Linked DNA regions of Rattus norvegicus. The protein of the gene in region 2 purifies or fractionates together with the protein of the main gene of each other region. This does not show direct contact. Links are inferred from orthologs where the notes say so. Each region holds a gene or a part of one and is shown on either strand. Other genes may lie near its edges.

Region 1 (5,000 bases), on a different chromosome or scaffold from region 2:
TCTTGGTTTTTTACCGCTTGACTGTAAATTTCCCATCTCACTGTATGGCTGTGTGTCACTCGATTCAGGGTTACTTGGTCCAATATATGTGCTATACGTTTGGTGTGTACAAGCTGCTGTCGTTTTGTTTGCTGGACATAGCTTATCTCTCCATCTCTGTACAGCACCCATGGACTGGGTTCTGCCTGTTACCTTGAATAAGCCCCTGAAATACTACTTCATTTTTAAATGGTGGAAAAATGAAATAACTGTGAAATTCATAGCTGGTCGACTCTCGTCTACCTTGAAGTGACCCCTCAGGACCCTGACTCCTCAGCTCTCCTGGCATCGCTTCTCATTAGCGTAGTCTTGTTATGAATATGAAGTAAGGAAAACCTTAGTCACCCACAGCTGAGTCCATTCAAGTTCATCTCCTCACACTTGAGTGGGCATACTGTGCGCTGTGGATGATGGCAGGAGGCTGATTCCATGAGCTGCTGGCTCTCCCGTCCAGGGCAGGACAGCATAGGCACCCCTGTGTGTTTCAGGGCAGGACAGCGTAGCCCCTCCCCCGTGTGTTTCAGGGGAGGACAGCATAGGCACCCCCTGTGTGTTTCAGGGAGGACAGCACCCACCCCCTGTGTGTTTTAGGGAGGACAGCATAGGCACCCCCCGTGTGTTTCAGGGAGGACAGCATAGGCACCCCCTGTGTGTTTCAGGGAGGACAGCATAGGCACCTCCCCTGTGTGTTTTAGGGAGGACAGCATAGGCACCCCTGTGTGTTTCAGGGAGGACAGCATAGGCACCCTTGTGTGTTTCAGGGAGGACAGCATAGGCACCCCCCTGTGTGTTTCAGGCAGGACAGCATAGCCCCACCCCATGTGTTTCAGGGGGGACAGCATAGGCACCCCTGTGTGTTTCAGGCAGGACAGCATAGGCACCCCCCGTGTGTTTCAGGGAGGACAGCATAGCCACACACACACACACACACACACACACGCACACACGCACACACGCACACACCGTGTGTTTCAGGGGGGACAGCATAGCCACACACACACACACACGTGCACACACACGCACACACACACATACACGCACACACACACACACGCACGCACACACGCACACATGCACACACACACACACACACACACACACACCCGTGTGTTCCAGGCCCCAGAGCTTCTGGAGCAGCAGAAGTACACCGTGACTGTTGACTACTGGAGCTTCGGCACCCTGGCCTTTGAATGCATCACCGGCTTCCGGCCCTTTCTCCCTAACTGGCAGCCTGTGCAGTGGTGAGTGGGCCTGGTACTGGTGGGAGGGCTATCTCGGGGAGCAGTGAGCCCCTGGCTCCATGCCTTGTCATTCAGTCCTTTTCCAGTCCCCACGTTAGGCCTGAATGGTCTGTGGTCCATTCTCCTTTAGGACCCAGCGGTTGCAGGTCAAGCGTTTCGACCTTGAGCAAGAGTGGTAACACTAAAAATGTTAGTAAATTACTGGTAAAGAGAACAGAGGTGCACACATGGCACATCATGAAGGCACACTTACACATGTAGTAAAACTTGTCAACAACACGTCTTCATGTAGACAGTTTTTACTTAAGGTGGTTTCTGAACTAGTAATAAGTTCACATGTTCTAAGCTTCAAAAGAATAAGGAAATAGAGTGGAAAAGACTGTCTCATGCAAGTTTCCATACCACCTGGTCTCTCCCCGAAGACACAGGGTAATCACTAGCCTGGGTGCTTCGTGGATGCTTTTACTTCCTGAGCAGGTGTGTCTGCTTAGTGACATTCTCTCTGTGCTCGTAACTGAGCACTGTTCTGCGTGTGCCTTGAAAGCGTGTGTGTGCACGCGCTCACACACACACACACACACACACACACACACACACTCACACTCACACTCACACAATCTTTGCCCAGAGTCTACAAGTGCTGTGAAGTTTGCCCCACATTAATTCTGCAGTATTTTGGAAGATACAGAAATAATGAAAGTCCAGAATTTGGTAGCATATATACTAAGATTAGAAACAGTCTTTTTACTTAAGAAGAATCAGCTATAACCAAATGATCTGCAAACAATCACTGAACATCCTTTCTGTCCATCTTCTTAGGAAAGACTAGCTCCTTATACACCCTTTGATATAGTCTGCGTTTCCGCTCACACTGAACACGCTGCACATCTTCCTGGGCTTTGGGAGGTCTACTCAGTCACTGTGATGTAGTTCAAGGCCGGAAGACTGAGTGGTTTATAATTGTGCTTCTTAATATAACACCACAAATAGCACCCTTGGAAAGCTGTCGTTCAGACACAGCTATTTGTCTGGTTATTTATACATTTGTGTAAACAGAATGAAGAGACTTTGAAAGAGCTCACACATTCTAAGGCTTTGATGTGTCTCGTGCCCCTGCCAGAAAAGGCTGTACAAAAGCATGCGTCTGCAGGGGTGTGCCAGTCTGACATTTTCCCTGTGCCATTCTCAACAGTAATGTCTTCATCTTTTACTCTGAGGAAAAGGGTGTTGCGGAAGGTGACCGTAACTTCTGGCCCTCCTGCTCCTCAGCTCCTAGAAGCTAGAATTAAGCATGCTCTATCACACCAGGTTTTAGTCAGTGCTGGGGATGGAACCCAGGACTTTCTTGCACACTAAGGCAAGCACTGGACCAGCTGAGCCACATCCCCATGAAAACGTTTCCATGAAAACCTGGCCTCTGAAGTCAGTTCTGGAGAAGGGTTGGGTAGTAGCAGCAGAGGTCACTTCTACAGTCAAACCCACATGGGCACAGTGCAGAGTCAGAGAGTGTCCTCTGGAAAGCCCACTGTCCGACCATAACTGCCTACCAACCAGGCTTTGGTCTTTCAAGCCTTTGGCTTCTGAAATATGGTATTTAGTTCATAGTCACACATCATAATGTAACCAGAAAATAGAATAGCTTTAAAGTGTTCGTCATATACTGACTTTAGTTAACCAAGGGATTGGTTGTTTTGTCTTCAGTTCAAACATCAACTTTTCCAAATTGGGGGGGGCTCCGTCTCTAGAACTGAAGAAGGCATCACAAACGTTGAGCTTTTCTCTGCTTATAACAAAATAAGTTAAGTCTGCATAGAACTGAGAACACCCTTAGTGGCCTGGCATCTCCACAGCTTGTCTGTTGTCTGTGAGATCTTTCCCCTAAAACCACCCTTACTTGGCTGCACAGAAGCCAAGTTCAATGGATCCCCACAGGAATCCGTCTGTGGACTGGTTGGGAGAAGACCTCCTCCTGGGCTTTTGATGTCTGGTGACATTTTCGTCCCTCAGATGACACGACCTGCAGTCAAGCAGTGCCTGTGCTGCTTGATGCACCCGTTGATAGTTCCCCACTAGCAGACGTTTTCCACAGAACCATCTTGTGTTAGTTAGAAGGCACAGAGACCCTGTCTCGACCTCCTCCATCAGCTCCTCCCCGAGCTGGATGCCAGCAGCCTTCGCCATGCAGACAGCACCTTCCATATGCTCCCTGGCTGCCCTGGATAGGACACTCACTGTTAGCCAACTGTCACTGTTTAAGGCTAAAGCATTTTGTTTTTAATGAGAACAAATCCTTTTTAGGGGAAGAATGTATTTGGACTTTTAGACACTAGAAATTATGCCAAATTTTGAGCCCTTTGTTCTGTCCCTCCATAGTTTGTCTAACATTGGACAACACATACTCTGACTAGAAATAATTTCACCACACCCGGCCACTCTGGCAGAGTACTCGGTTACTCATGAAGTGTTATTCAAATTTAAATTGTCCTTCTTCCCAAGAAGGCTGGAAACCACTGGGATTTAATTTTTTCCCCTTCCAAAACTACTTTAAATACCTTAGGAGTACACCCCTCCTTAGAAAATGTAGCTCATTTATTCTAGAGAAACCCTAGCCACACACTTTTAAAGGAAGCATGGGCCTGCTAGGTAGCTAAGTGGGTGTCCCCACGTTTGACAACCAGAGTTCTATCTCTGGAACCCTAGTGGTAGATGGAGAAAACCAGTTCCCTCAAGCTATCCTCTGAGATGCATGCCCATGTGGCAAGTGTGTGCATCCACGTGCATGAACACATACACACACACACACACACACACACACACACACACACACACACAAATAAATAAATAAATGACATTTTAAAATGAGGTGAAGTACATGTGTGCTTATTTTACATTTCAAATAAATGTGGTGCATACACAGTGACCGTGGCTCAGAACCCCAATTTTATCCTCTATCCAAACATGAGGTCTGGGTTGGGAGATGGCTCAGCAGTTAGGAGCGCTTGCTGCTCTTCCCGGGGACCTCAGTTTGGTTCCAGGCACCTACACAGGCAGCCATCAGGAAGCCTATGTCCTGCTACATACACATAAGTGTAATTGAAAATAATTGTATTTAAATGAAAGGTTGTACCTGATAACTGAAGGGCAGAGGAAATTAGAAAAATAGTCAAGAGCACTTGGTCGCGCATGAAGCCTTACTCAGATTTGAGTTGTCTCTTTTAAGCCGTCCACATAGAAGTCCACGGTGCTTCCTGGAGAACTTAGGGAGAGAGGCCATGGGTGACCTTGCTCAAGGTTGTCCTGCAAGGTCTCATTTGGACATCCCCGAGCACGTTCTGTTTACATGCTGTGGACTGAACCAGGGCCACTCATGCTACACTCACTGCCACTGAGCTAAACCCCTAACCACAGTGCAGACCACTCACAAACCCTGGGAGAGGCATCCCAGCAGCACACGGACCATTGTTCTAAAAAGCATACAGTTGTGAAGTGACGTTACAAGTGTAAGCTGGGTACTTGCCACTGAGTGACATAAAGGACATCTTAAAATGACACCCGCAGGCACTCTAAAGTCCGGCAGAAGAGCGAAGTGGACATTGTTGTTAGCGAGGACTTGAACGGAACAGTGAAGTTCTCAAGTTCCTTACCCTTCCCCAATAATCTCAACAGGTAAGGCCGTGGGGCTTCGGTCCTGAAGATACTTTTCTCCTCTTCTTAGAAATC
Region 2 (4,352 bases):
CTCTGTGTACACGAAGGAATGGTTTGTGCACAGTTACTTTTCTGTCGCTGTGCTAGAACACCACGGGCAAGACGGCGAGGCAGGGGGAGGGCTCATTTGGGGCTTGTGATTGCAGAGGGAGAAGGTGCATCTCCATTGTGCCAGGGAAGTGTGGCAGCAGGCAACTGTGGCATCCAGAGCTGGAAACTGAGCTGAGGGCTCACATCCGGATGACAAACAGAAAGCAGACAGGGTGTGGCTTCTGAAACCCCAAAGCCTGCTTCAAGTAACGTATTTCCTTCAGCAGGCCCATACCTCCTAGGCCTCTCTAAACACCAACTGGGATCACCCACTGGGGACCAAATATGCAAATGCCCAAGAACATGAGGGTGTTTATCCTCTAAAGCTTCTTATCCCACATTAGAGCCAAAGCATGGACACTTTGCTTTCTGCTCCACATAAATACTTTGCTGCACACAGTTCAACCCTCGCACCCGTGGAGTGCGGGCACTGAATCCGCACAGCTCTCTAGGTGAACCTTGCTGGGGTTCGCATGAGGGTTCTCGACATATTCCCTGCTCTAGACAGCTCTAGAGAATACAAGCCAAGCCATCAGAGAACATTCCAGGCCTGGCCGAGGGAAGACAGACGCTAAGGAAACAGCCTGAGACTCAGACCAGAGCACTCAGCTTGGGTGCAGCCTCATTCTGGAGGACTCCTAGATATTAGGACTGCACTGGAACCTCTGCTCCGCACAAGAGATCTGTTGTGGTGGCTTGAGCATGCTTGGCTCATGGGAGTGACAATATTAGGTGTGGCCTCGTTGGAGTGGGTGTGGCCTTGTGGGAGAAAGTGTGTCACTGTGGGGATGGGCTTTTGAGACCCTCCTCCTGGCTGCCTGCAAGAGTCTCTCCTGGATGCTTTCAAATCAGGGTGCGGAACTCTCAGCGCCTTCTCCAGCACCATGTCTGCCTGCAGGCTGCCATACTTCCTGCTGTGGTGATCTGGACTGAGCCTGTGAAACCGCGAGCCAGCCCCCATTAGATGTTTGTCTTTATGAGTTGCTTTGGTCATGGTGTCTTCACAGTAACGGAACCCCTAACTAAGACACAGTCTGTGTGGACAGGACACATAAGGTTGGACAATGCACAGGGCACATGAAGGGACCCCTCATCCTTGCTGGCCCTAGCTCATCCAGGGGCTAAATGCAGTTATTGACTGGCAAATCCCACCCCCAGCCGGTCTCCCCCTCCTCTGGACTCTATTCTAGCCACCTTCTGCTTCGACATCAAAGAACTCCAACTCTATCTCTCTAGTTTTAAAATTCTGTGACACTTCCCGCTGACTTCCTTAGCTCAACACATGCGGCTCTTTGGAACAGCACTGTGTCCACTTTCTCCTTCTCCCGTCGTATCACCTGGGGCCCTAAGCTTTGGTCATAACGGGGCCATGTCAGCAAACCTCACTCATGTTCTCTGTCTAGGGTCTTTGCCCCTTACTCCCTCTCCTTAAAATGCCCTTTCCCAACCTGCTAGCCTGGTGAACTCTTGCTAATCCTTGAACCCTTGCAACCTCTCCAGCTGTGGGGTTTTCTTTCCCCTCAGGCCTATGTAAAGCATTGTGACTTTCCTGAGAGCTTTGGTTAATTACAGTACGTGATTCAGTGGTACATGTTAGGGGCACTGGGACTAATTGGTTAGAGTCATTGGCTCATGCATATGTCTGTGTGTTTGTGTGTTTGTGTGTGTGTGTGTGTATGCATGGAATGCATACATAATGCAATATATATGTATATATGTATATATATATACATATATGTATATATTTGCTATTGTTTTAAAATTCCACTTGACAGTCAGTCTCCTTATGGCCAGAGCTTGGGACATGCTGGCTATTTGCTATACGATGACCTAGAAAACAGTTTATGCTGATTTTGCCTCTGTGTGAGATCTTGACTCCTCAAGACAGTTGTGACCTTTGAATTGCTTATCTTCTGCACTCAACATGAGTGCTGGCTCTGAACTCAGGCTACCATCCTCAAGGCAGCTCATCTCAAAATGCAAACCAAAGGCCTTACAGTGCTCTCCAGGCCTCGTGTGATGCAGCCCCTAGAATTCTGGCCCTCTTCATCTGCCTGCTCTGTTCTGGCCACTGTGATGTTCTTGCTTTTGAACACATGTCCATCTTCCATCACTGTGTGGCTTTTCTGAAGCACCTTCCTAGGCACGGCGCATTTCACATTTCATTTCTGTGTCGATGCTGAGCTGGTCGTGGTCTCTCCTCATCAGAATGTGTGCTCCACATGGACAGACGGTCCTGAGGGCTGTCCTAGGGGTGATGGAAATTAGCCTGTGGAACACCAGCCTCACAGCTCTGAGCTCCCTTCTGCTCCTTCCTCTTCAGGCCAGAGCTGAGGTCGGAGTGAAAGAATCACGAATTAGATTAAGCCCAGAGCGCTGGCATCCTTCCCCCAAAGCCACAGGGGAATTCACATCATTCAGTGTGACCTCAGTCCTACCCCTTTCATGTGAGGTGGTGAAAAGCACATTGACATGCAAAGGGCAGGTAGCCCAGGAGACTGACAGAAAATGCTGCACACATGTGGTTTCCATAATGAGATGCACAGCCTGCACCCGAAGCCAAAAGAGCTTCGCTCGCACGCTCCGAAAGCAAAACAGCAGCTCCCAAGACAGCTCAGTGGCGGGAACACCTATGGAGGGCGAACCGGAGCTGTTGGGAACTGAGGCCCGGACCTCGAATCCGGGCTCCTCTCCGTCCCGTGACCTTTGTTCCTGCCCTCTCTTCCACAGGAGCATGTGCCGACCTGGCTGCAGAACACTCACGTGTACAGCTGGCCCAAGAATAAGAAAAACATCCTTCTGCGGCTGCTCCGAGAGGAGGAGTACGTAGCTCCTCCCCGAGGCCCTCTGCCCACCCTTCAGGTGGTACCTTTGTGATGCCAGCCTGTTCTCACAGCATTCGTCCAGCCAAGCTGGTTGGTGGCACTCAGGCCTGGAACACCTGTTCTACAGAGTTCCCGGCCTCCTGAGTCTGAGGTGTCCTCGCCCGGCCTCCAGTGCTTCTGGGAGTGGATGTTGCAGGTGATGGCTGCCCGGACCTATGGCCACAAAAACTCTCATCACTTCAGCTACTCTTATGAGTTGGCCGGATGCTTTGTGTCCTTAGACCAGTCTGAATCGTGCTCAATTAATAAAGTGATTATTCTTTGTAAGAATGTGTTTGTCTCAGTGGAGGTGGGATTATTAATTTATACTGGAACGGGCAGCTCCCGGACATCAACAAAGCTGCTCAGATATAGTATTAGGTAAATGTGACAGAGTTCTGTACTGAAGAATTAAAACTAGAAAGTGATGTGTCCTTTTAATGTGAAAGGCTTTCTCTTCACGTTGAGGCTTTTAATGAAGCAATGCTAATTGTAAAGCTGTAATTGGGTGGGGAGTGTAGCTCAGTGGTAGAACATTTGCTTAGCACGTAGAAGTCCAGGATACAAGACTTCAAGAAGAGGAAAAGGTCTGGCCATTTATGTAAAAATATCTGAGTATATGCATGAAGTAACAGGGGCTGTGTCATCCAGGCCAGAGTTATGGTCTAGTTTTCTTTGTCCCACTCCTGAGTACCCCTGTGACTAAGCAAGTCTTCCTGCTTTTCTGGGACTTGGAAGACTTATAAAATCATATGGAGCAGGGTATTTCTAGTGAACCAGGAAGGTCTGGAATGTGGGCCTTAACCTCTAAATTCTCTTTAGAGAAGTAATGGGGTGTTTATTTTTTTAGAATCGCATCTCCCAGGGCATAAATGTAATTTTACTTTTTACTTCTGTTTTGTTCCGTTCTGTTTTTGTTTTTTTGGAGATGGAGTCTTACTATGAAGTTCTGGATGGCCCGGAATTCAATGCATAGAGTAAGATGGCCTTGAACCCATGGCGATCCTCCTGCCTTGCAGTGCCGGGATTGCAGGTGTATACCAGCAAACCAGTGTCTTGGTTACTATTTCATTACTGTGAGCAGACACCATGACCAAGGCTGTGTTTAAAAGGAAGCATTTAATGGGGGCTGGCTTACAGTTTCAGAGTCCACGGTTATCATGACCTGGAGCGTGGCAGCAGGTAGGCAGGCATGTGCTGGTGTAGTAGCTTCGAGCTTATATCTTATCCGAAAGATGGAGGCAGAGGGAGGAGGAGGGGACAGGGAGAGGAAGGGGGGACAGGGAGGGGAGGGGGGACAGCCTGGCATTGGCTTTTGAAACTTCAAAGCCCACCTGCAGTGACACACCTCCTCCAATAAGATCACACCTCCTCCTAATCCTTCCTGAGCAGTCCACCAGCTGAGAAACAAACGGTCCAAAAAATATAT
Region 3 (4,163 bases), on a different chromosome or scaffold from region 2:
TCCTCTTCCTCCTCCTCCTCCTCTCCCTCTTCCTCTTCCTCCTCCTCTTCCTCCTCTTCTTTCCCCTCCTCCTTCTGAATACTAGGGTTACCGTTGTACATCTGTTGAGGTTTGATCTTGCTGTGTATTGTAATGCTAAGTGTAGATCCCTAAGACCTGGAGTCCATACTGTAGAACCCCCAAACTGACCGGACCCTCAAATTATTTCTGATTAGTAAATAAAGATGCCAACAGCCAATATCTGGGAAGAAGAGACATAGGCGGGGTTTAGGATTCCCAGGCTTGGGGTTGGAAGAGAACCAAGAGGGAGAAGAAGGTGAATGGAGGAGAGAGAAGCCACCGTGGATTAGGTGAGTTTACGAGAACATGATAAGTAGTAACTCAGGGTTATTGCTAGGGAAGTAAATTCTTAGAGCACAGAGGGTAGGTATCTGCCCAGCTCTTGTGCTATTTAAGGCTTATTAGAAATATAAAGGTTGTGTGTGTGTCTTTCATCCACAAACTAAGTGGTAGAAACCCCCGGTCAGGATTAAATAATTTCTACAGTACACTATCACATCCGTCTTAAGATATGTGCACATACATGTACCACAGAGCACACATAGAGGTCAAATGACAGCCCTCAAGACAGTAAGCTTTGGCGGCAAGGTCTCTTATCCACAAAAGCCATCTCACCTGCCTTAGAGTGTGTGTGTGTGTGTGTGTGTGTGTGTGTGTGTGTTATTGTTGTTTTTTTAAGATTTATTTATTTTATGTATGTGAGTACACTGTCACTTGACACACCAGAGAAGGGCATCCGATCCCATTACAGATGGTCGTGAGCCACCATGTGGCTGGTGGGAATTGAACTCAGGACCTCTGGAAGAGCAGTCAGTGCTCTTAACTGCTGAGCCAGCTCTCCAGCCCGGAATGTGATTTAAAAAGCTGTTTCTCTACCCATCATTCCACTTCCTCTTTTCTGCCCCACCTGCTAGTGTTTCTGAGACCCCCGTTGTATAAATAATTACAGATTTATTTAGCCAGTCCCCGGCTGCTGGGCAACCAGGTGCCTTCTAGCAGCACAAGCCACAAGTCATGGACTCCCGTGTCCACGACTCCTTACAGTGAAAACCGCAGCAAGACATCTCTGGGCCTGCATTGCTGCACTCTGTAGATATTACTGCGGACCCCTGACGCCAAAGCTTTTCCTCCATCTTTAAAAAGCAAGTCGAGAGATGACAGGGGCAGGCACGAAAGTTAGCTGCACCGGGCTCTGCCTTGGCTCCTCTCAAACTTCAAAAGTCAGCGGCTGTCAGAGCCAGGCCCCTGCTCCGGAACCATCACCTCCAAAACAGTTCCAGGGCTCAGACCAGGGGCTTCAAGGCCATGCTGCCTGTCACCTGCCGCTCCTGCACTGAGATGCGACTCTCTTTACCATCCTCCTGTGCAACAGGCTGACACCCATGCAACGTCTCCTGCACTGGAGCAGCAGTGTTGTGACCGGGATAATCTTCTATCTCCACAGGATCTTGTCCTCGAGCCTCAGGGGGTAAGACCTGGAGAGCCAAAGTATGAGATCCAAGGTCACCTCTAGCCACAGAGCCATCCTGCCTCTGAAGAGTAGAATCCCTTCCACTGGGGTGGGAGGATGGGGGTATCAAAGCTGATTTCCTGGATGCCTCCTGCCCCCTGCTGGACACATGAAATTTGGCAGGAAATTTCCAGAGCCACTGCCGGGCAGCGGAGGAGAGGCTGCCCCTCTGGTTCCACCTACTGGTCCCTGAAGGCGGGACTTACCCCGCATTCAATGCTGGGGAAAGCACAGCCTGGGTTACTCTGCCGGCGCCCAGCTCCGCCCTAGGGGGAAACGATTGGGTAGGAGGAAGGGATGAGGACTGGAAGCAGGGTTGGGTGGGGGTGAGAGTAGCCCACTGTCACCCTACGTGCTCCAGGGACAGACCCTGAACCTGTTTGTGCATGTGTGCGCATGCGCATGCGGAATGTGGTACTGGGCGTATTGCAAGGGGTAGAGGGTCCACACTCCCATGTACGCACTATTGGAGGCCAGAGGTCAATATCCTGTGTCTTCTTGCACTTTCAACCCTTATTTTCTGAGTCAGGGTTTCTCTTGGAAACTGGAGTAGCCAGTGGCTGACTAGCAAGCTCCAGAAATCTGTGTGTCCACTTCCCCGCCACAGCGTTGGCATGAGAGGCCTTTTCCATGGATATTGGATCCGCACTGAGGATCCAATACAAGCTCTTCGCTCACGGAGTAATAGTCTGTCTCCCTGCACCATTTGCCTCCCTACCTGCCCACCAATCACTCTTTCAGCTTCTCTTCCTCAGGGATGGCTTACCTCATTGTCCTTTGGTTTCTTGACCACCTTTTCTAGTGAGAAGAAGAAGGGGTGGGACATGGGGAGGTCGAGTCAAGATTAATCACTGCCTCTGTTCTGCAGAGCTGAATCCTCCCTCACTTCCCCCTCCTGAGTACTCACTGATATAGAGAAAAACCACAAAGATGGTGATGAGGATGACCATCACGACGGGAATGACCAGCAGGGCTCGCATCCGGGGCTGGAAACCTGGAGAGACAGACGTCGAGTGCTCCCACTGGTGGGTGCTCCCACAGGTAGGTGCTCCCACTAGCAGATACTCCCACAGGTAGGTGCTCCCACTGGCAGATACTCCCACAGGTAGGTGCTCCCACTGGCAGATACTCCCACTGGTGGGTGCTCCCACAGGTAGGTGCTCCCACTGGTGGGTGCTCCCACTGGTGGGTGCTCCCACTGGCATGTGCTGCCCAAAGCAGCTCTATCCTCCCAAAATTCAGGCCTCCTGATATCAGAGCTTTTGAGCAGTAGCATTGTGGATAATGTGGCCACTATGGGAACTTTTAAAATACTTTATGGTACTCGCCAATGTTTATCCATTGAGAGAGTCCATCTTTGGGGGTGGGGTTATGGTGTATGTGAGCCTAGTCGTGTTCAGGTGTGTGCACCTGTGCATATATGCAGAGGTCAGAGGAAGATGAGGGTTTCCTGCTCCACCATATTTCACCCAGACAGAGTCTCTCACTGAGCCTGGAGCTAGTCTGTGATGCAACAAACTACAATTCTCCTTCTAGTGCCAGGACATAGTATTAAGGTCACAGTGACATGTGGTGTGGTCATGCCTCACTCATGCTTGCACAGTAAACACTCCTACCCTCTGAGCTGTCTCTCTAGCCCTGGAAGAGTGCAGTTGGGATGATAAGCCCCCAGTTAGCTAACTCCCCATCTGGCTTTCATCAGCTGTGTGGTGACGGGACACCTCCTGCCTGCCTGTTTCACCCTTCCCCCACACTGGGTTGTGCAGCTCTGCGCCTGAATTGTTACATCTGCTGCAAAGGATGGAGGAGGGGCTGGGGATTTAGCTCAGTGGTAGAGCGCTTACCTAGGAAGCGCAAGGCCCTGGGTTCGGTCCCCAGCTCCGGAAAAAAAAAAAAAGGATGGAGGAGAGAAATAAAGTATCTCTTATGTCTTCACTGCTATTCTAAGTAACAAATGAAAAAACCAAATAAATGGCAGCTGGTCTCAGAGGCAAAGGGTGCAAACACACACACACACACACACACACAGAGTCATAAAGGTAAGTCCTCTTTGAGACAGGGTCTCTCTAAGTGGTTTAGGCTGGTCTTGAACTTGGGGTTCTCATGCCTATACTACTCCACCTAGCTCATAGGTCAGGAGGCAGACACCAGTGACACAAGCACAGGCCCATGGGTGGCTACCTGGCTTTTAAATAAACTCGTATCGGAAGCAGGGCCAAGGTTAGGATGAAGGAGGTAGGCAAGGTCATGCGTCTGGACAGGTCAACTCCTACTTAATTTAAAAGTTTGCTATGTTGTGAACCACGGGTTTTTTTAAAATATGTTTTTGCTTTTTTTCTAGCATCATCTCAAAATGTTGTTTTCTCTTGTTTACTGTCCCTTCTTGATGTCTTCTTTTTTTTTTTTTTTCTTTTTTTCGGAGCTGGGGACCGAACCCAGGGCCTTGCGCTTCCTAGGCAAGCGCTCTACCACTGAGCTAAATCCCCAACCCCCTCGCTCTCTTCTTACTTTTTTGATAAGTTTTTAAATTTGTATTTATTTGTATCTATGTATATCTGAAAGTGCCTAGAGGTATGTATGTGCACTGTGTGTG

Evidence for each region. Proteins that work in one complex are often made in the same cells at the same time.
Region 1: the proteins of Traf3ip2 (region 2) and Ikbkb purify together in Homo sapiens (affinity purification with western blotting; 3 studies listed by BioGRID, with this or other methods). This does not show direct contact. The link is inferred for Rattus norvegicus from reciprocal best matches to the Homo sapiens genes TRAF3IP2 and IKBKB.
Region 3: the proteins of Traf3ip2 (region 2) and Cd40 purify together in Homo sapiens (affinity purification with western blotting, with the first as the bait; 3 studies listed by BioGRID). This does not show direct contact. The link is inferred for Rattus norvegicus from reciprocal best matches to the Homo sapiens genes TRAF3IP2 and CD40.

Annotation. Positions count from the first base shown.
Region 1 is NC_086034.1:76,052,027-76,057,026, forward strand, and holds part of Ikbkb (inhibitor of nuclear factor kappa-B kinase subunit beta), read left to right. Parts: intron 1-1,155; coding exon 1,156-1,280; intron 1,281-4,838; coding exon 4,839-4,946; intron 4,947-5,000.
Region 2 is NC_086038.1:44,606,030-44,610,381, forward strand, and holds the end of Traf3ip2 (E3 ubiquitin ligase TRAF3IP2), read left to right. Parts: intron 1-2,789; coding exon 2,790-2,936; 3' UTR 2,937-3,211; downstream 3,212-4,352. UniProt on the Homo sapiens protein: E3 ubiquitin ligase that catalyzes 'Lys-63'-linked polyubiquitination of target protein, enhancing protein-protein interaction and cell signaling. Transfers ubiquitin from E2 ubiquitin-conjugating enzyme UBE2V1-UBE2N to substrate protein.
Region 3 is NC_086021.1:174,221,421-174,225,583, reverse strand, and holds the end of Cd40 (tumor necrosis factor receptor superfamily member 5 precursor), read right to left. Parts: intron 2,565-4,163; coding exon 2,478-2,564; intron 2,369-2,477; coding exon 2,337-2,368; intron 1,837-2,336; coding exon of another isoform or gene 1,777-1,836; intron 1,536-1,776; coding exon 1,344-1,535; 3' UTR 997-1,343; downstream 1-996.